Linked DNA regions of Tamandua tetradactyla. The protein of the gene in region 1 interacts with the protein of each later gene in a biochemical or structural test. Links are inferred from orthologs where the notes say so. Each region holds a gene or a part of one and is shown in the gene's direction. Other genes may lie near its edges. The genes, in order: ACTA1, vitamin D-binding protein-like and GSN.

Region 1 (7,253 bases):
CAGGGGATCTAAACTTTCAAAAATACTATAGAAAATGAGAAAACCACATTAAAAATGTGGAAGAAAATAAACCCTTGTAATCCTACCAATGAGAAAAATAACTTCAGTTAACATTTTGGAATACAATGTAAAACATTTTGGACTATACATACATTTCATATTGTAACTTCCTTTTTTTTCATGTGAGAGATAATATTTTTGTGTATCCTTAATTCAGTGTTTCTCAACCTTTTTTAAATCCCCCTAAAGAGCCTTTTTAGAGTTTTTTCCTAATCCACTACTTCAGTGAAATTTTTACACTGTAGTCATGTACCATATCCTTTGGAGGGCCACAAACCATTGTAACATCTATGATTCTTTCCACCCCCTAAGAGGCAAGTTTTGCTGTTGGAGGCAATATCACCTCCTTTAAGAATGAATGTCTTAAAGGGATCTTTAAGATATGATATTTTAGTGACTCTGTGACACTACCATTTGTCTGTACCAGAATTTATCTAATAACTCTCAGTCTCTTTCCATCTCTTACTTGGGTTGTGGTGGTGTTCTTGTTTGCCATTTTAACGAATGCTAGAATAAGCAGATTGTTCTACAAAAATCATTATGCTCTACAAATACCTGTAAAATTTCATTGCTTCTCCTTGTTTAGTTTTGTGATGACAGTTATGTACCTTTGTGATGACAATTATGTACCATTCTAATAACTTTTAATATCCTTTGCTCACCTCTTCTAACACTTCACCCCTTGCACCTCTTCCAATGCTTAGTCATTGGAAGAAAGGCTACTGTTTATTGCAGGTTTCTCATGTCACAGGCACTCACCAAGTTTTAATCCTCCAATCAGTCCTTTGGAGGAGATGGCATCCTCAGGTGTGAATGTTGAGGTCAAATGCGCAAGGCCACCTGATTAGCGAGAAGGGGAGGTAACCCAGGTCTGCTTGACTCCAAAGTCCAAGCCTTTAACCAATACATTATACTGTGTGTAAAGATGGTTGGATGGGGGTGAGGGTAGGGGGCAAGACTCTTCCATTTGAACCATCAGGCCTTTAGAGCTGGCCAAAGTCAGAGCAAAGGCTAAAGTGAAGAAAACCATCAGCTTCAGGTGAAGGGTAAAAGTAGGAAATTCCAGTCCTCCCTTTCTGACTGCCATGAGTTACCTAAATTTTTAGATGTATACTTTTGTCGAGAATGAGTTTGTTTTTTTCCTTTATCTACCTGATACCTAGGATGTTTCGTGTAGTTGAGACAGTCAGCCCTCCTCACTGTTCTTTTTGAGATGATAGATTATAGTTGCTGGTGAAACTATGACTTTTCATTTCAAGATGGCTTCTGGCTCTTCATTGGAAAAGATCCCTTGAGAATGTTAGGGCTCCAAAACTCTGTCCCAAGTAGTATGGAAGAGTGAAATAAGACAGAAAACTGCCCCTGCCCTCCCCTGACCACTCCTAGTGGAAGGGCTGAGCTACCATCACAAGTCTTCGGTTCAAGCTCTGGCTCATCCACTTACTGGCTGTAGGATCCTTGGGCATGAGTTATTTAACTCATTTTGCCTCAGTTTTCTTATTTTTAAAACTGGAATGAATAGTGTCTACTTTATTTACCTTAAGATAGTTAAAAGGATTGATTAAAGTAACATGAAAGCATACTATAAACTTTTGTAAATTTATATTTAAATTGGTAAACACTACAAGAGAAGGCTTAGACCGAGCAACATTGGAGTACAGATAGATAAGGAATTGAGGGAGAATGTTGAAGGGAAGGGAGGTGTGACTATACCAGCTTAGCTATAGCACAAGCACCCTGTCAGATTATCAAGAGCTGAGGCTGCACCTGAAAATTTAGAAGCACAAGCTCTCTGTCAAGCATACTCTACATGGCTGACCTTTAGTTGGTGATAGTTCTCAAAAGGGTATGCAGGCAGTAACCAGCTTACTCAGACAAGAGCAGAGCACTGGTGTGTTCCCCAAAAGTGTACATGTATGGAGATGCAGCTTTTCCACATACTCAATAGCTCTGTTCCCTAAGCCAATGAGAATTCAACAAGACCAGAATGGAATTGAGAGCGGCCTTGTGGTGCTCCATTAGAGACTACTTAAGCCAGCATCGGTAATGTTGGGGCAGACAGCAATCGTCTGAATTGGCATTATCAGAGTCCATCTCCCCAAGGTTTGCTGTACTAGCAGATGTCCATTAGCTTGTGAATGTTTTATTCATAGTTGGTTCTTATTGTATATTTGTGTCTAATATACCCTGAGCTTAGAAAATCTTGCTTACAGGGGAGGTCAGAGTTGTACTGATGAAGAGTTTTGAAAACTATTGACAACCTATCCTTCTTTAAAACATCAACAAATCCTTAGTATCTGGTGAGTCAGAGCACATTTCTTCCTACCTTAAAGACCAAAATGAAAGCTATTACCCCAAATAGTACATACAGTGCATTTGCCAGGTTATTTTTACTGGTGTTTCCACTACCCACTGACACAGTAAGACACAAGGCATGAAAAATGAAATGTGTTTCTACCAATTATTCACTAACTCCACAATAATTGGAAAAGTTAAATATGAAACTACAGGAGCTTCTAACCACTGACTATATTTACTACATTGACCAATTCTAACCAAGCTCCTTTTTTTTTTAAAATTAATTTTGATCATTTTTAGGAAGAGCTATTGTGGTGTGGGTTACAGAGGAGGTTTACATATGCTTTTATATCCCTCTTAAGAGAATCCACACCTGTCCCAGTTGCTGAGTTCCACCACCAAATGTGAAATGCAACTATTTTGGGAACACTTAAGCACATCAGAAAAATGAATGATTCCATTTTGGCTGGCACCAGATCACTGATGTACCCCCTTAAAGCATGTCACTGAGTTCATCATAGAAAATTGTTTCTCCTGTGCCTTCTATAGCAAGGTTAGAACTGTCCTTGTTCCAGTGAGGGAAGGACGAAACATGTGAGACAGACACCAACTGGACAACCTGCTCTGACCTCCACACACCTTACCATAAGTAGACCCATATCCTTCTAGAAAATTTAAAAAGCATATCCCCATTTGTCAGTGGTATAAATAGAACCCACTTCAGCAGTCTCCAGTATATGGTGACTCTCCAAAGTGGACTGGAGAGCAGCCTGGCCTCAGCCAAGGTATCATCCTCTAAATATAAAGCTGAATTTGTTCAGCCTTTGCAGAAGGGGGGAAAAAGTACTATCCAAGAATTCAAAGTTAGAGTTTAGAGTTAGTAAGAACACCTCACCACCTATCTTTACCACTTCCAGACCTGGCGGATCGTGGGTTGTGACTCTTGTCTTTCAGCCCCAAGAGAGTTGCCAAGCAGAGGGTGGAAGGTGGCCCGCAGTTGAACCCACCCTCAGACTGGGGTCGGTCAGTGCTGGAGGAAGGGCACACCCCACCCTCCCGAATTCACCCCCCTTGGGACTACGCTAGTGTTCTGCCCCTTAGCGAGGCGGACAGCTCCGGATTTTGCGCCCCCGGCGACTGCCAGAATCACCCGACTGGGCCTGTCCCCGGGAGCCCCGGCGCCGCCTACACGCAGCTCCGCCCTCGCCTCCCCGCCGCCAGTTGTCCGTCCAGCAACAGCTGCACGCCTCCGGGCGCTGCTGTCCCGCTCCGCCATAGGGGAGGGGGGCGACTCGAATCTGTCCTCTGGATTTGGGGAGACCGGTGTGGGGGGGTGGGTGGATGAAGGGAGAAATGGAGTACACAGGTGCTGGAGAGGCATTTTCCAGTCTCCTGTCCTCCCAGCCCCACCTTTTCGACACCGCGCCCTCCTCTCGGTGTCAGCATATGAGGCTTTGGGGATCTGAATAAAGGAGCAGAAGAAAGGGTGAAATGTGGGAGGCAGGTAGTCAGTCCACCTCCGGGGCGCCTGATAGGACCAGAGTGGACAGGAGTGGGGAGGCCTTTCGGACAGGTGCAACTCCGGGAGGCGCAGACTCACACAGGCACCCGCGGGCGCACTGGGTGACCCTCACTCCACCCCATCCCCTCCAGCGGGCAACTCAGCCGGGTCGGGAGGGGCAGACCCGCCAGGGAGACACTCCATATACGGCCCGGCCCGCGTTACCTGGGCCTGGGCCAGGCCGCTCCTTCTTTGGTCAGCGCCGGGGACCCGGGCGGGGACCCAGGCCGCGAACCGGGCTGGGGGAGGGGGCTTTCGTGCCCAACACCCAAATATGGCTCGAGAAGGGGAGCGACATTCCTGCGGGCAGGCCCGGCGGGCGGCGCGGGGGGAGTGCCCGCGGGCTATATAAAACCTGAGCAGGCCCAGCCCGGCCACCGCAGCGGACAGCGCGAGAGAAGCCTCGCTTCCTCCCAGGGCCCGAGCCGGAGAGCAGCAGTTGTAGCCACCCGCCCAGGTAGGGCGGGGGTGGGGAGGGAGCCGCAGGGGGCGGGGACGGGCTGCCACCCAGGAGAGCGCGGTGATTCCCGGGCGGAAGACTGCCGGCTCACCTGAGTCCGAGGCCTGCGCCTGCCCTGCAGGCTGCACCTCCTCCCTAGAGCCACACGCGCTTTAAAGAAAAGTCAATTAGATAATCAAATGGCCTTTGGAACCCCTCCAAATTTATGGTCAGCCTCTTTGGGCCGCTGTACCTGGCTTTTAGGCTGTGCCGAGCTAGAGATAAAAGGTTCTACCTTAGTCGTCCCCAGGGCATGTCTCTCCCAACCAAGTGCCACAGCCAAGGGCAACAGGGTAGCTCTGCTCTGGGTTTGCCCACAGAGTGGAAAGGATCCCTTCCTGAGTCTGGAATATCGTGGATGCCCATAACAGGCCATCCCTCCCTGGACAAAGGGCCAAAGCGCCTTTACATGGTCCTCTCCACTCTTCCTCACATTCATCTAACAGGCAGCCTTAAATCTTTTGCTTGACAGATGAGGCAACTGAGGCAAGGGGAGGTTGGGCGGCTAGCAACTTGCTCTTGGAGCCGGCTGTTTCTTGGGAAGACGGGGAGGTCTCAGGACACAATTTCCCACCTGGGTGCCCGGGATGGAGGAATTCTCGGTGTGGTCTCGACACACCTGGGCCAATACCCTGGCAAAACGCAGCCCTGAGCCCCCCGAGGGCGAAAATCCGGTGGGGGCCCTTTTGGCCTCTTCCGGGGCGGGATGCGCGCAGTTCGGGGCTGAGTGGTGTCCCTGGGATCCGGGGGAAGGGAGGGTGCTCTGGCCGGGCCGAGTCTCACCTCCGCGCCACCAAATACTAAGCCGACGTGCCGTGCGTCCCAAAGATCTCCCTGTCCTTGCAGAAACCAGTCACCATGTGCGACGAAGACGAGACCACCGCCCTCGTGTGCGACAATGGCTCCGGTCTGGTGAAAGCCGGCTTCGCCGGCGACGACGCCCCTAGGGCCGTGTTCCCATCCATCGTGGGCCGCCCGCGTCACCAGGTCAGGCTCCCCACCCTGGTCCCAGCGCAGCCCGGCGCCGCCGCAGCCGGGTGAGCAGCCTTAACCGGTCGGTGGGTTCTCGGTTCCGCAGGGCGTCATGGTGGGTATGGGTCAGAAAGACTCCTACGTGGGCGACGAGGCTCAGAGCAAGCGAGGTATCCTGACCCTGAAGTACCCCATCGAGCACGGCATCATCACCAACTGGGACGACATGGAGAAGATCTGGCACCACACCTTCTACAATGAGCTCCGAGTGGCTCCCGAGGAGCACCCCACCCTGCTCACCGAGGCCCCCCTCAACCCCAAGGCCAACCGCGAGAAGATGACTCAGATCATGTTTGAGACCTTCAACGTGCCGGCCATGTACGTGGCCATCCAGGCCGTGCTGTCGCTCTACGCTTCCGGCCGTACCACCGGTGAGTGCGCGCCGGCTGGTGGTGGGGTGGGGGCTCCTCCCCACGCCCCGTGCCTCCCCTCCCACCCACCCCCTCATCCAAATACAGCTGCGCTGCCCGCAGCCCACGCACCGGCCAAGTGGAGACCTCTGCACCCGCCCCTTCCTTTCCACCCCCAGTCTAAAGCACCCAGGGCGTGCGTGCTCCGGTCGGAGGGGCCCCAGAGCCGGGTGTAGGGGCACCTAGAGGCTCCCCCAGCCCCGAGACACCAAAGGCCCCCCTCCCTGCCCAAACCTCAACCCCACCCACCCACCCCCAGCCCATCCCCCGCGCGGGATTCGGGTCTCACTTCCTGCTCCTTACTCCACTTCCCTCCCACTGCGCACAGGCATCGTGCTCGACTCCGGCGACGGTGTCACCCACAACGTGCCCATCTATGAGGGCTACGCCCTGCCTCACGCCATCATGCGCTTGGACCTGGCCGGGCGCGACCTCACGGACTACCTGATGAAAATCCTCACCGAGCGTGGCTATTCCTTCGTGACCACAGGTACGCGGCGCCCGGGGCACCTTCGAGGGGTGGGGAGGACCCGTGTGTGTGTGAAGACGCGGCGACCCTCCGCCAAGGGGTCACCTCCTGCCCCCGCCCCTGCCCCCCGCAGCTGAACGCGAGATCGTGCGCGACATCAAGGAGAAGCTGTGCTACGTGGCCCTGGATTTCGAGAACGAGATGGCTACAGCCGCCTCTTCCTCCTCCCTGGAGAAGAGCTACGAGCTGCCCGACGGGCAGGTCATCACCATCGGCAACGAGCGTTTCCGCTGCCCGGAGACGCTCTTCCAGCCTTCCTTCATCGGTGAGGGCCCCCTGCCGGCCCGGGCCAGCCCGGGCCGGGTCCTCTCCGCTCCCGCCCTCTCGGCGCGGTGCTCTTCCTCACGCTTTTCCTCCCGCCGCCCCCAGGCATGGAGTCCGCCGGCATCCATGAGACCACTTACAACAGCATCATGAAGTGCGATATCGACATCAGGAAGGACCTTTACGCCAACAATGTCATGTCCGGTGGCACCACCATGTACCCGGGTATCGCCGACCGCATGCAGAAGGAGATCACAGCTCTGGCTCCCAGCACCATGAAGATCAAGGTGCGCGGCGGGCGCGAGGCTTCCAAACCACGCAGTTCTCCCCAGCAGGCCCCCTGCGCCCGCCCCCCGCCGGCTGCGTGCTTCCTCGGCTCACCGCACACGCCCTTGTCTTTCAGATCATTGCCCCCCCAGAGCGCAAGTACTCGGTCTGGATCGGCGGCTCCATCCTGGCCTCCCTGTCCACCTTCCAGCAGATGTGGATCACCAAGCAGGAGTACGACGAGGCCGGCCCCTCCATCGTCCACCGCAAATGCTTCTAAACACAACACGCACATCTCCCGTGTGCTAATTCTCCTCAGGATGACAAGTCTGT
Region 2 (7,823 bases), on another chromosome or scaffold:
GTAATATTTTGAAAGAAATCTTTTCTTTTTCCATTCAGCTGATCTCAACAGTGGGCTTAAAATATTCAGTAAAGTATGTTGCAAACAGATGTGCTGTCATTCAGGTTTTGTTGTTCCATTTATAGAGCACAGGCAGAGTAGATTTAGCATGATTCTTAAAGGCCCTAGGATTCTCCTAATGGTAAGTGAGCACTGGCTTCAACTTAAAGTGACCAGCTGCATTAACCTCTAATAAGAAAGTCAAACTGTACTATGAAGCTTTGAACCAGTTGACTTGTCTTTAGCCTTGAAAACCATGGATGGTATCTTCTTCCAGCAGAAGGCTCTTTTGTCTACATTGAAAATCTGTTGTTTAGTGTAGACACCTTTGGCAATTATCTAAGCTACATGTTCTGGATTACTTGCTGCAGCTTCTACATCAGCTTTGTTTCTTCACCTTGTACTTTTATGCTATGGAGACAGCTTTTTTTCCTTAAACGTCATGAACTAGACATCTGCTAACTTCCAACTTTTCTTCTGCAGCTTCCTTATCTCTCTCATTCTTCCTAGATTTGAAGAGAATTAGGGCTTTGTTCTGGACAAGATTTTGGTTTAAGGGAAGTTGTGACTGGTTTGATCTTCTACCCAGACCATTAAAACTTTCTCCATATCAGCAGTCTATTTCACTTTCTTATCATTTATGTATTCACCGGAGTAGCTATTTTGATTTCCTTCAAAACCTTTTCCCTTGCCTTCAAAATTTGGCTACATGGTACAAGAGGCCTATCTCAGCTTTTAACATGACTTCTTCACTAAATGTGGTGGTTTGAAGCTGTAGGTACTGCAGAAAAATGTGTTCTTAAATTTAATCCATTTTTGTGAGTGTGCATTATAGGTAGGACCATTTAACAAGACTATTTTAGATAAGGTGTGACTCAACTCATTTAAGATAGGTCTTGATCCTATTACTAGAGTCCTTTTATAAACATAATGAATATAGAGTGAAAGAGAAAGCCATGGACACATGAACCTGAAAGCAATGAAATCCAGAGAAGAAGGAAGAGATCAACAGATGCCACCATGTGGCTTGCCATGTGCTAGAGGAGTCAAGAATTGCTGGTAGCCTGTTTTGGGGAAGAAATTGTCACCTTGATGATGCCTTGATTTGGACATTTTCTTGGACTCTAACCATAAACAAATAAATTTCCACTGCTTTAGCCAACCTATTTTATGGTAAAGCATAGGAAACTAAAACATTACACTTAATCATTTCTAGTTTTTTATTTAAAATGAGAGATATATGACTCTTTTTTTTTACTTGAATATTTAAAAGCCATTATAGGATTATTAACTAGCCTAATTTCAATACTGTTGTGTCTCAAGGAATAGGGAGCCTGAGGAGAGGTAAAGAGATTGGAGGAATGGCCAGTCAGAGGAGCAGTCAGAAGATACACATTTATGGATTAAGTTTGTTGTCTTATAAGATCATGTCATGGGACCACAAAACAATTGCTATAGTAATATTAAAGATCACGAATCACAAATTACCATCACAGAGATAACAATATTGAAGAAGTCTGAAATACTGCAAGAATTCCCAAAATGTGACACAGAGACACAAAGTGAGCATGTGCTGTTGGAAAAATAGCACCAGTAAACTTGCTTGTCACAGAGTTGCCACAAACTTTTAATTTATAAAAGATGCAGAATTTGTGAAGCACAATATAATGAATTATACTTGTATCTCAGATAACTAATGATGGCAACAGAGGGTAAAATGATCTAAAGCCATGTTAGTTAGGATGCTTTTAATTGCAAGAGACAGAAATTCAACTTAAATAAACTTAAGCAAAAAGGGATATTTATTTTAAGAATATTGAAATTTCTTATGATGTCAAGAATAGAAAATGGCTGGGCTACACAAATACCCTGAAATTTGGATTGTCCTCAGCTCCTCTCTTCATGTCAACTCTAAGGATATTACACAAGTTACTAACCTCAATTTCCTCAGTCAGTGGAAAATAGAGAATAAAGTGTAATCATAAAGAGAATCTGGATGAAGAAAATAATCTGACAAATGAAATCATTTAAAAAAATCATTTCTGTTGGAGTACTGTGTTTAACCATCCTGTAGCACAATGAAAATGTTAAAGATATTGGTTTGGTAAGGAGGGTGAAAACTGAGAGATACCAAAATTAGAAAAATATGATTGGGGAGAGAGCTAAAGATGGATTTCTGCTTCACAATTTTGCCTAGAACTAACCTTGTTTAGGGTTATAATTCCTCTGAAACCTATGTTGAGATGGAAAAAAAAGAGAGAGACTATTTCAAATTCAGTTCTTTATGGGCAAAACAGCTCCTATTCAATTCCACGGCATAGTTAAATCTTCAATGGTTATCTCTTTTTAAAACTATTTCTGGAATAAATTTCTGAATTGCTGTAGCTGCTGCTATAACAGAGGCTATTAGAAGTTGATGTTTTTCATCCATTTTTTTCCCCATCTGACTTACTGTGGGAATCATATGGCACAAGATGCTTCTCATCTAGGCCACTGATGATTATTTCTTCTTAGTTTTAAAATTGCCATAAGCAATCAACATTTGAAAGCTTACAGGGAGTTACATAAATAAGACTGAGAAAAGATTAATCTATTTAGCTACTAGCATGTTAGTGCCAATTTTCACTTAAAATGAAACTCAGCCAAGAGAATAGATTTGGGAGTTTTTGTAGAGATTTCTCAAGAGAACACCTGAATGAGATGTTGCAATTCTTGCCACATGTAGTTTATCATTAAACAAAAGTGAAAGATGTTATTGCAAAAGCAGAGATAAAGTTATAATTTTTTAAAAAATTACATAACAGCCTGGTCAAACTATAGCAAAAATCATGGGAAACGATCCAAGTGTATCTTTGAATGAACTGATCATCAGAAAATGACAATACAATAATGCTAAATTTTAAAAAGATACAAAAGTATATAAACCAAATTATCTTAAATAAAAATGGAAGCTATAGAAATATACTAACATATTAGTTCTTCTTTCTGCATTCTGGCATTCTTAATACTTTTAGAAACTTTTTTGCACTCATTTAGAGCTTCGTTTCCAAATAATTTGCTGTAAGCATAAAACACATTTTTAAAAATTAACTTGCAAAATCAAGTAAGAGTTAGGATCAAGGGAAAAAAAAGTTAAGAAGATTTTCAGTAAGCACTAAGGAGGTATAATAGATCTTTGAACAGGAAACCTGTCTTCTCATATTGCCTATAGCAATGCTTATAGGAACTTCTAATCTCTTTTACCATATGGATTTCTATAGGCCTCATGGAGATAGCTTTGCTTTGATCTATTTAGCTATCATTTTTCTACAAACTTGATTGTACTTTTTGAACCTAACATCCCAAGTATTTTCAATATAAATGGAGGATCTCTGAAAATGTAACTGCTTAAGGCTGTTTAAGATTTTAATGGAAACTTCTTATGCAGTTACTCTTTGGCTCCTGAATTAATAGTGGAATTCTAGATCACTGATCTCTGATGGTTCTAAACCTAGGACACAGGGCTGGCTTTTGAATCTTTCATTGCTTTGCAGGCCTCAGTAGTTCCAATGAGCTCCTCAGATACCATTATAAATTTGGAGAATAAGTGCGGAGAAATGGCAACAACTAGAAAAATAATAGGTAACATCAGTGAAGTCACCCTGACTTAGATGTACAGTTAGCTCTGTGCATGGATTATCTCAATTAAATTCACAACAATCTGTGTCTGTGATACAGGCATTAAAAGTTATCATCACTTTGCATATGTGTAAAGTGAGGCTTAGAGAGGTAAAATAAATTTCCCAAGATTCCACAACCAGTAAGAGCTGAACAGGGATTTGCACTTAGGTAGGCCTGATTCTAGTCCCTGTATACCTAACCCTTACTTGACCCTGCTTCCTGAAAAGAGAGCTGGACAAGAAAGCAGCTGACCTGATTCTGATGAATGATGATTACCTGTGTCTCTCTAGGCAAGTCAGAGACTTTACTTGGGGCTCAGTTTCCTCTTCTGTAAAGTACAGACGTTAGATTCCAAGTCCTGCAAGGACACCATGAGCTTTTAAGTTATATTATCCTAAAACACACTGGTTGTATAGTACCAGTAAAAACAGGTTTAGACTAGGTACTAGGAGTCCAAGATTTGCCACTAACTTTTGTGATTCAGGGAAAGTTATTTATTTTCTCCAGTTACTATTTGCCTTACTTCAAGGGTTATGTTAGGCAATACATATGTTAGTGCTTCAAAAAGTATAATGTGGAATATAAATATAAAATGTTTTCCTATTATCGCCAGTAAAATTGTTTTGTAACATTAATATTACAGATTTGAGGAATTATGTTGAATTGACTTCTCACTCATCTTTTTTCCCCTTATTGCTTAAAACATCTGGTTTTAAATAAAATAACACTTATTTGTAGAAAGTTTAAACAAAGTGAAAGAGACAGAGAGAAAGAGAAAGACAAAGAGAAAGAAAGAGAAAGAGATAACCTCCAATTTTCTATTTATACATGAGAAGGGCAGGGAATGCCCATAGAAGACACATAACCCTATAAAGAGGAACAAATGTACCACTTACTATTACTTTAAAAAATTTCAGTCAAAAGAAGCTGTGGAAAATAATCTATGTATGTTCTGGTTCTTTCAGAGTACAACAAAGTTAATGATTAAAATCTGCTGAATTTTCCATTACATTATACCCAGGGTGTCTGTTTGCCTTGATTGATGATATTATTTTATCTCTTGTGGGCCAAGGATGACTGCCCCTTGCTTCTGTGTAAAGATTAATAATTGATTAGCTCAGAGTTGGGAATCCTAGTAAGAGAAAACTAATTGCTCTTTGCTGCTGTCTTTCACACGGTAACCCCACAGGAGTCAGGCAGTGCTTCAGGACTCACCAGCAGGAAAATGAAGGGGCTTCTGGTTCTCCTGCTTGCTGTAGGCTTTGGGCATGCTATAGAGAGAGGTAAGACCTCCAGTATCATGATCAGTTATCAGAGCTTTTCTTAGTCCAATATTGTGTTAACATAAAAAAATTACGTAAAAGCTGACAGACAGAAGAATTGGTGAATATGCTGAGGAGAGAGAGAAGGATTATAGAGGGCTTGATCTGAGTTAAGCTGTGCCATATGGCATTGAATTGGAAGAGAAAAGAAAATCAGGATAAGAATCTCATGAAAGAGAAAAAGGAAGTATAAAGTTTGTTAATTATCCCTTCTCCTTTATTTGGTAAACAAGCACTGAAAAAGAATGGGTTAAAGTTTGAACAATCTTTTTTTTTTTTTTCCATGGGCAGGCACTGGGAATCCAACCCAGGTCTCTGGCTGCTGAGCCACCATGGCCCGCCCTGACCAATTTTCAATTTTTAAATGTTAAAAGATAATACAGGGCGGGCCGCGGTGGCTCAGCGGGCAAAGTGCTTGCCTGCTATGCCGAAGGACCTCGGTTCGATTCCCGGCCCCAGCCCATGTAACGAAAACGGAGAAACAAAATACAATAAAAAACAAGAAAATGTTTAAAAGATGTTTCCCTTTCTTCCTCTCTTCCTTCCTTCTATCCTTCCTTCCTTCTCTCTGTCTTTCCTTTAAAAAAAAAAAAAAAAAAAAAAAAAAAAAAAAAAAAGATAATACAAAGGGAGACTGTGATCCAATACTGAGCATTTTTCAAATATTTATTGCCATTAAAAGTATAATAACTGTGTCGATGATGCATGAAGTGAACTAAAGCTCTATTTTTTTATCCTCTTTGAAGAATCTTATACATGCAGTCCTTGAAAAAAGCATTACAGTTTCTAAAACACTTCCAAATAAATTAGAATTTTCTATAACTAAGAAACACAACAAAAAATAAGATAATTGTTTTTCATTGAAATTATTCTTCAAATGTTGGCTTCATCTTTGGACAATGTTTAAAAGCTTTTTAAAGTGATATGTATGGAAATTATGTAAAGTACACAACTTTTAAATTTTGTAGCTTTGGATTTTCCATTCTGTTTTATCTTTTAATGTTTGTAAGGGAATCTGCATTCATCATGCTTTGTAAAATTAAAATTTTCATTTGATGCTGAGTGTCTCACCCAAGTCATACTGAGTATTCATACCAGTAATGTGTTTAACCAATGGAATAAATATTATGTATCCCAAGAATTATTTCTCATTAATAGGTCCTGAACAACCTTACTCCTCATTTTTTCCAATTCTTTTTTGTAATCACTTTTTCTTGTTCTTATTTTGGCCATTCAAATGATTTTAAATTTTCTTTTCCTCATCTACAAATCCTTAAGTAAGACTATGAGGAATTTCTGAGATATAGTGAGGTATGAATTTCTGAGATATAGTGAGGTATGAATAAGTCCTGAGAAACCTGGAAAGCTCAGTTTTTGTCCAAGGTTTCCCTGGGGCATATCTGAATCCGAAAAATCTTACTGAAACACTTTGAGATCAGGATTTTTAAATACAGAAATTCCAAAAATGGCTAGTCCTTGGAATTAAACGTGGAGGCCATAACCTGGAACATGATTCATCATTTTACACTGCTGACTCAGTAAGTGTGCATTAGCCTCACCTCAAGAAATTACAGTGTCTTTTGAAAATTAACAAAATATTCTACAACTTCAATTTGGATATCTTTCAGCAGTTCCTCAGACCCTGGTGAAATGGATGCTAAGAAATTCAGTTCTGCTTCTTTGAAATTCTGAATTTCACAATGAACTTCAGTCAGATTACCCAGATGTATAGGTCATATATCCCCTGAGACATATAAAATAATTTGTAATTAATAAGTATCCAATACCTGAGACACTGGTCTTCTATTCTGTAACACCTGACCATGTCCCAAAGAGCAATGAAGCTCCATCTGACCAAGTCAGCAATTAACTGGAAGATAAGTGTGTTCTCTCCTGGCAGCAATGCTCATATTCTTTTACTTTGCCACAGAGCAGCCACCTGAAAGCTATGAAATACATGTATTAGAGAAGTTCAGGAATTATGTTCAGGGGAGCCTTGGATAGTGGAAAATTGATTAGGGTTATAGTACTTTCTACGATAGAAAGTTACAGTTCTAAAGAGCTGACCATCAACCGTTTTTTTCTAGAACACTTTTCCAAAAGTGTATTTCAAAGTATATATTTTTAAGACTCATCTTGAAAAAAAGCGCAGTTTCCTGCATTTGGCTTCTTTCTCTGTGGCTGAAATGGATGTAACACTAATCTACTAAATCATGTCTTTCCCTCTTCCAGCTCCCCACCCCTAAAGCAGCACAGATTACTAAGACAGCTGCGCAATTACCAAAAAAAATGCCAACAGAAAATAAACCATTACAGTTTGTCAGGACTCTTGATAAGAACAATATTATTTTGTGAACATTTACCTTTCAGCTTTAAGCTTTTCGTTTCCAGCATACGTATATATTTACTGGACTTGATAACAAACAGCAAGAAGAAAGAAAGTCGCCTTTGAGTGGGTGGGTGAGCTATATTTTTCTGTCTCCCACTTTCTTGTTAAAACAGCCCTAGACAATGAGGTTATTCCAATCCCCTAAACCACCACTGAATCACTCTGTTTCTGTTTTACAAGTGGCCTCTTTATCAGTAATAATTTAACAACAAAATTGTCCTAAGTTTGATCCAGGAGTATAGCTGTACAGAATGCCAGAGTGAAATAATCAAGGATAGATACTCTCTCTATTTTCCCAGATAAAGACATCTCCGTATCCTGTCAGCTAAACTTACATATTACAAAATTAGGAATTTATACAGGATTTGAGATCAATGTGATAAAAAGGAGATAGCTCTGAAAAGACCTAGACA
Region 3 (7,089 bases), about 120 Mb from region 1:
AGGTCCAGATATGGATAGGGGCTAGGAGACACTAGTGAGCTGGAAGCAGAGCCGGGTTGCTTCCCAAGTCCAGACCTAAGTACCCAGGAGTGATACAGAGCCACGGTCCATCCTCCACCCAGAGGCCACAGCCTGGGGATCTTCCTAGGACATACCTATATCTCGGGTACTTCTGTTAGCAGAGGGCTAGAGGGTTTTGCTGGTACAGGCTCCTGCTCCGGGCTGGGAGGTTGGGTGGGGATGGCCACTCAGAGATCCTGGCCACCAGGCTTGTCTTGAGCTTGACTGGTTTAGCAACTGCAACCCTTTACCTGGAAATGGCGCTGCTGTTCCCTACCCAGGCTGGATGGTTCCAGGAGCCCCTGCTTCCTCCTATCTCCTATTGATCTTCCCAGACCAAGCCTGGGCTCTGGAACCAATCAGGCTTGCATCTCAGCAATGCCTCTTTCCAGCTGAGTGATCCTGAACCTCAGTTTTCCTGTCTGTTAAATGGGAGCACTAATGCTGGGAGGAAAATATGAAAGGCACTGGCTTTGGTATTGAATCTCCCTCTCCTTTCTTTCCCGTGTTCTCCCAGAGATGGCTGGGCCCAGAGGTGAGGGAGCTTGTTACAACCTGTGCTTCTTTCAGCAGGTCTGAGGCCCTGAACTTTCTGATTTGGAAGGGTCTGTAGAGGTGACTTGGTCTGCCACCCCCATTTCATAGATGAGAACCCTAAGGCTCAGAAACATGCAGGTATTGACTACAGTTGCACAGTTAATACTCAGAGAACTGGGGCTAGGAATGTGACTTACAGAGTCACAGCATGGAGGCCCATACAGTCTGTTGTACATGAGACCCAGGGACCCAGAAAAGGGTTATGAATTGCCCAAAGCCACATAGGGAGTCAGTGACAGAGCCTGACCTAGCACTGGGGTCCCTTCCTTTCCATGTAGCGGCCTTTCTCTTATACTCTGATCCCCATCCCCCCTCCCCAACCTCTTAATCCTCTTCCAGGCAGGAAGCAAAGTAAGATCACATTTCCCCCACCATAGCCTCCATAGCATAGCATCTCTGCTGCCCTGTAAGCAGAGATCTCCAGGCTGTGGCTCCCAGAGGCAGGGACCGGGACCTGTTCCCCTGTTCTCTGATGCTGAGGGCCCAGGCTCCAGAACTCTGTGCAGGCCAAGCTGCAGGGCCTTTATGATCATTAACTTGGGGGTTGGTGACCCTGCCTCCGGGGTCAGTGACCCTGGGGCCCTGGGGCCAAGGCCAAGCCACAGCAGCCCTCTGTTAATCACCAACTGGCAGGCTGGGGCCACACTGCCCAAGAAGGGGCTGCTCAGCTGGGCCAGCTGCTGGCTCAGGTTCACTCTGTGGATTGGGATGACAAGGAAGTTTCTTCTTCCTACTTGCATGGACGTGTAAGATGGTCTCATAAAGGCATTACTTAACGTATATTTTTCAAATGTTTTGTTTCCATATAGTGCTTTATTATTTCAAAAAGCGCACACTGGCTACATACTTACTACGGGTGTAAAAAATTGAGGTATAATTTACTTAGCATGAAATTTTGCCCATTATAAGCATATAGTTCTATGACTTTTAGTAGATTTAATCAGTTGTGCAGTCATCACCATAATTCAGTGTTAGAATATTTTCATCATCCTGCAAGTTTCCCACACTGTTTACCCCAAACCTTAGGCAAACACAGCAATGTTTAAAGGGTGAAATTCTCTCCCTTTATCACTTTTAAGCAACCTTCCTTAACAGTTTGGTGTTGACCCTTCCTTGACATTTTTTATAAAAAAGAGGAGGAGTCATATCATAAACATTATTGTACAATTTGCATTTTGCACTTACAGATCTTTCTGTGTTTGTTGAGTGCCTACTATGTGCCAGGCACAATCAGATCTAACCCATTCGTTCTTCACAGCGGCATAGTGGTCCATTGTACGACAGCTTCATTATTTATTTAACCAGGACACTTGGGTCCTTTCCAGTTTTCTTCAAACAATGCTTCAGTGAGCATCCTTGTTTATATATCTTTTTGTTTGTCAGTAAGTCATTCTGTAGGAAGTGGAACTGTTGTTGCATTGTGGTTTACATTTGGGTGGGTAGAGTCAAATTACTATGCAGTTTATGCTTCTACCAAGAGCATATGAGAGCTGTGGGATTTTTATAATCCTCCAAGTGGCTGGGGGGAGAGAGGAGCTCTCTAAATTTAGGCCAGAGCTGGCCCACTGCAGCCTCTGCAGGACCAGGCTGGCATACCAGGATGCTGAGCCCTGGAGAACTGAGGTTTCTCTCTGTGGCCCCCCCCACAGACACCAGGCTAAAGGTCAGATGCTTGGGTGTGGCAGTAAAGGTCCTGGGACCCCTGCCCCCTTCCCCTCCAGCCTCATCTTCTCTGGCTTCGCCTGTTTCAGGTGGGACCACTCATTGACTGACTGTGGCCTGCATTTGCTTGCTCTTTGCCCCTACTGTTCCCTCCCCTTGAATGCCTTTTCTTCTCAATCTCCATATGTCAGAAATCTCCCTGTCCTTCAGGGTCCAGGTCAACAGTCGTTTATTCAGTGAAGCCTTCCTTTTTCCCTGCAGTGTGAATTGTCTTCTCTCTCTGATTTTTATCTGACCCACAGATAAAAAAAGTCATAGAACTATGGGGCTTTTATCTGACCCACATTCCCCCTTAAGTGGAAGGATGTAGTGGGCAGTGAGGGACAAATTTCAGCCTGATTTAATGGAAGCTGGACTCGAGGAGGAGCTGGGATGGGTGAGGAGCTTGTGGGAGACGGGGAGGGGAATTCCCATTTATCTAGGTGTAGGCCAGACCATTTTCACACACAGACTCATTTTAATCCTTAGCACTGACTAGACCCATTTAGTAGATGAGAAGACTGAGGCATAAAAAGAGGAACTAATTTAGGCATTGTCACACAGCCAAAGAGAGGTGGAGGTGAGAACCATACCCAGGTCTCTGACTCCCCAGTTCCCTTTCCTGTCACTGCACCAGGCTGCTTGGGGATGTGGGGAGAGTCTAAGATGCAAAGAACTTAGCTATCAGAATTTGGGTGGCAGAGTAGGGGAAGGGAGAAGAGAGGGCCTGGTGAAGGTGGGAAGTGGGCCTAGGTGAGGGCATAGGACTGCTAACCCACAACACTTTCTGACCCCCAAGGGTAGTTAATAGGTAGCATCTAAGAAAACCTCTAAGCAAGTGAACTTATCATTTGGAGACATAAAGGTAAATACCGAATCATTAGCTAAAGGAGGGAGAAGTGTTTGTCTCTAGCCAGAGGTAAATGGGGCACAACTTTGTACAAATATGTGACTTTAAGTTTCGATAACAATAAATTTTTTTTTTTTTGAAGGAGGGAAAGATAGGGCATCTTCAGTAAAGTAGAAAGAACCAGCAAACCCAGAAGCTGAGGGTTGGCTTCTGGTTTCTGAGTCTTGCTTTTTTCACTTGTTTCATCCTAGCTGGTAGCAGTGCATGCTGCCCAGGTGGGGTTCCACCCAGTCACAGTGTCTGGGTTCAAATCCTGTCTGTACCATTTACCAGTTGCTGCAATTTCCTTATTCAGCCTCCTTGCTGCTGTTCCCTCAGCTGCAAAATGGGGCTGACAGTTATCCCCTCTGTTCGGGCAGTTATGATGTGTTAGTGGAAAGCTTTCCAGTGTTGTTAGATCATCCCATTTTCTGGAGACGGGAGCGGGCTTGTCACACAGTAGAACGAGGCTGCGCTCCCTTCCATTCGCACTAGCACCCATTCAGCGATCACTGAGTTAGCGACCGCTGTATACCAGACCCGGTGTGGGCCCATGTGCAGGGCGGCCGCACCCGGCTAGCTGGATCTGTCCGGGTGGGAACCCCGAAGTCTCTGAGATCCGGGTCAGATCCCCGCCCCTCCCGGGCTCCCGGGAGCCTAGCCCTGCCCCGCACCTCCCTGCGGGGCGGTCCTCGGCTTGGGCGGGCTGGGCGGGCTGGGCGGGCGGCTACTTAAGGCTGGTGACCCCGAGGCCGCGGCTGCCGACTCGGTCCTCTGCAGCCGTCGCCGCTATGGCTCCGCGCTGCTCCGCGCCGGCGCTGCTCGGCGCGCTGGTCCTGGCGCTGTGCGCGCTGTCACCGCCGGTCCGTGGGGCCACCGCGCCGCGCAGGGCGTCTCAGGGGCGGGCGCCCCAGGGGCCGGTGCCCCAGGCGCGGGTGAGTGCCCGGGGGGCCCGGGGGCTCCCGGAGTAACTCTCTGTTGTAAGTTCTTGCAGATACAGCGCTAGGAAAAGGGGAGTAATTCAGGTCTAGAATGGAAAAACTGTTTTGTTGCTTTGTAAGTATTGCCTGCTGCTTCGCCGCGGAGGGGGGTGGGAGCCTCGTGGACCCTGGCTGTTTCGCTCCCTACAGGCTAACTTCACCTTGGCCGGATTTCGTTTCCCTCTCCCTCTCTGATTTCTCCTCTCTCTTCGCTGCCTGATTTCTTCGCTTCCTTTTCTAATTTCTCCTCCCGTCTTCATCATTTTTCCTCTTTCCTGATTTTCTCCTTTCCTCTTCTGATTTCTTCTTCCTCCTCAGATTCCTCCTTCTCCTCTCATTTCTCTCTCCCTCTCCAAAATTCCCTTCCTCTTTCTTATAGGGCATCACCTCTATCTATCATTATTACTATTATTTATTCTCTTCTCTCTCTCATTTCTCCTCTGTCCCGTCTGATTTCTGGTTTCTCTGGCATCTCTCCTTTGATGTTTCCCCCCACCAGCTCTCTCCTCCAGTCCTAGCTGACCTGTGCCTGTAGACTTCTAGCCTCCGGCTACAGCCTAACCCTCCTGTCCCCATTCTCTTGCCCTGTGCATGTCCGGCAGCCTTTCCCCCTCCAACAGGCTCCTGCAGACCCCGCTGCGTCCTCTCCGCCTTTTCCAAGGAATGGAATTGGGGGGTGGGTTGTGGGGGGCAGGAGGGAGGAGGCAGACAGCGCGGAGGCCACTTGGGCTCAGCTATCTCAGTCTATAGGGGGATGGATGGGTCATGGGAACTCTTCCCCTCCCAAAGCAAAAGCAAACAGGCTGTGTGACCTTGGGTCAGTCCCCAACCCTCACTGGGCCTCAGTTACCCCACCTGTGGGGGGGCAGGATTGGATTGTGAGCTCTCGGAGGGCCCCTTCCAGTTCTAAGAGCCACTGAGGATCCTGGAGGGGAGCAGACAGAGCCCCTGGGGGCCCCAGATTTACCGTTGCCATCTGAGGGGTCTCCCCATGGTCCCAGAGCCCATGCTCTTGGAGCCTGGGACAGTTCCTTCTGTGACATCTCCTAGGTGGGGGTCCCTAACAGAGTCACTTCACCTCTCTGTCCCTTCACATCCAACTGGCAATAAGAAGGGAGGGGGAAAAGGGGGAGTCATCTGTCCCCCCATCACAGTGGAAAGGACCAGGAGCTGAGCTGGGGGAGACAGACACTGGCCAAAGCACAGGGTTTGGAGCAAACCCTCCACCCTACTTGCTAACTCATCGAGACAGGTGGACTTAGAAGGGGAGGTGGGGAGTGACAGAGGCTCAAGTGAGAAGCTCTTGGTGCTGGAAACCACCCTCCCTCATGCCCCGGGGTCTGCTGAGCACTGTCCTGGCTCCTGCTCAGGCTCTGCCTTGTCTCTTCTTCAGCCCAGCAGCATGGTGGTGGAACACCCTGAGTTCCTCAAGGCGGGCAAGGAGCCTGGCCTGCAGATCTGGCGAGTGGAGAAGTTTGACCTGGTGCCCGTGCCCCGCAACCTTTATGGAGACTTCTTCACAGGTGATGCCTATGTCGTCCTGAACACAGTGCAGCTGAGGAATGGGAATCTGCAGTACGACCTCCACTACTGGCTGGGTGAGACCCTCCCCTGCCCCATTCCCCCTACTCTGTAAAGCACAGACCTTGAGGTATGGTCTCTGAGAAGAACCCAAGGAAGCTAACTGATTACTGAGTACCAAGTATGTGCCAGACCTTGGGGTTACACACCCAGTCTCTAGAACCAGCCTGTTTGAGCTCAAAGCCCAGCTCTGTCCCTTACCCACCCTCTGCCCTTTGGTGAGCCACTCAGTGTCTCTAAACTGGGCATGATGATAGCACTGCACCTACCTAATAGGAGTGTTGTTAGGGTTAAGTGAAATTCTCTGTCACTCAGAAATTTGGGTGACTCCAAGACCCTGGACCCCTTCCGCTACTTCCCTGGCCTAGAGTCCTTCAGAACCTGGAGCCTGGAGTCCCTACTGCTGCTCTGTTAGGTAATTCCCCCACATAGTGTTTCAGTTTGCTCATCTGTGAAACGTACTCATGCACCCAGTCCTAACTTCATGCTGTAGAGCATCAAGAGTCTGGTATGAGAGTTGAGTATAGGGAAAGCCTCAGAGCTGGGAAGAGACAGAGATCTCCCCTACTACACAGGTGGATTAACTCAAACTCACAGAAGGCAGGGGCTTTCCTAGCTTCAGCAGCCAGGCCAGGACAGTGTTAGGGTTCTGAACTCTCCCCTCCCCCGGGGGGTTTGGGACCACTTACAGGAAGCCAGGGTCATACTGTTCCAACACCCCCTAGGCAATGAGTGCAGCCAGGATGAGAGTGGGGCGGCCGCCATCTTCACTGTGCAGCTGGATGACTACCTGAATGGCCGCGCCATACAGCACCGTGAGGTCCAGGGCTTCGAGTCGGCCACCTTCCTCGGTTACTTCAAGTCTGGCCTCAAGTACAAGGTGGGTTGGGCCCTCCCTTGCATGGTGCCAGAGACAGGGACACCGATGGTGAATGTCTGCTAGTCACCAGCTAGTCTTTGGGCTTTGATTGCAGATGGGTCAGACCCCAGGCTCCAGAGCTGTCCAGTCCTGGGTCTGAATCCTGGCCCAGGGCTAGCTGTGTGACCTTGGACAAATCATACTTTCTCTCTTGGGTTCTTCTCTTGGGTTCCTTATCTTAAAATGGGGAGAAGAAAATTCCCATAACTTCATAGGGTTGTTTTCCCAGCTCCAGGGCCTGCCGGTCCAAGAGCTTTGAGCCCAGTTCTGCTCCTAACCTGAGGTTAGGGCCCTGCTAGCTGAGGGCCCTGTGTTGGATCTTTGAAAGTACACCCTGAATTACATCTGTCTTCTGTTTACTA

What was found.
Region 2: the proteins of ACTA1 (region 1) and vitamin D-binding protein-like are reported together in a solved structure, tested with the Homo sapiens proteins (2 studies listed by BioGRID and IntAct). The link is inferred for Tamandua tetradactyla from reciprocal best matches to the Homo sapiens genes ACTA1 and GC.
Region 3: the proteins of ACTA1 (region 1) and GSN are reported together in a solved structure, tested with the Homo sapiens proteins (3 studies listed by BioGRID and IntAct). The link is inferred for Tamandua tetradactyla from reciprocal best matches to the Homo sapiens genes ACTA1 and GSN.

What each region holds. Positions count from the first base shown.
Region 1 is NC_135328.1:153,789,723-153,796,975, reverse strand, and holds the start of ACTA1 (actin, alpha skeletal muscle), read left to right. Parts: upstream 1-4,243; 5' UTR 4,244-4,376; intron 4,377-5,264; 5' UTR 5,265-5,276; coding exon 5,277-5,405; intron 5,406-5,496; coding exon 5,497-5,821; intron 5,822-6,188; coding exon 6,189-6,350; intron 6,351-6,462; coding exon 6,463-6,654; intron 6,655-6,758; coding exon 6,759-6,940; intron 6,941-7,056; coding exon 7,057-7,200; 3' UTR 7,201-7,253. UniProt on the Homo sapiens protein: Actins are highly conserved proteins that are involved in various types of cell motility and are ubiquitously expressed in all eukaryotic cells.
Region 2 is NC_135345.1:72,853,973-72,861,795, reverse strand, and holds the start of vitamin D-binding protein-like, read left to right. Parts: upstream 1-4,797; 5' UTR 4,798-4,924; coding exon 4,925-4,982; intron 4,983-7,823. UniProt on the Homo sapiens protein: Involved in vitamin D transport and storage, scavenging of extracellular G-actin, enhancement of the chemotactic activity of C5 alpha for neutrophils in inflammation and macrophage activation.
Region 3 is NC_135328.1:36,066,536-36,073,624, reverse strand, and holds the start of GSN (gelsolin), read left to right. Parts: upstream 1-4,023; 5' UTR 4,024-4,038; coding exon 4,039-4,182; intron 4,183-4,264; exon of another isoform or gene 4,265-4,279; coding exon of another isoform or gene 4,280-4,303; intron 4,304-5,620; coding exon 5,621-5,825; intron 5,826-6,533; coding exon 6,534-6,688; intron 6,689-7,089. UniProt on the Homo sapiens protein: Calcium-regulated, actin-modulating protein that binds to the plus (or barbed) ends of actin monomers or filaments, preventing monomer exchange (end-blocking or capping).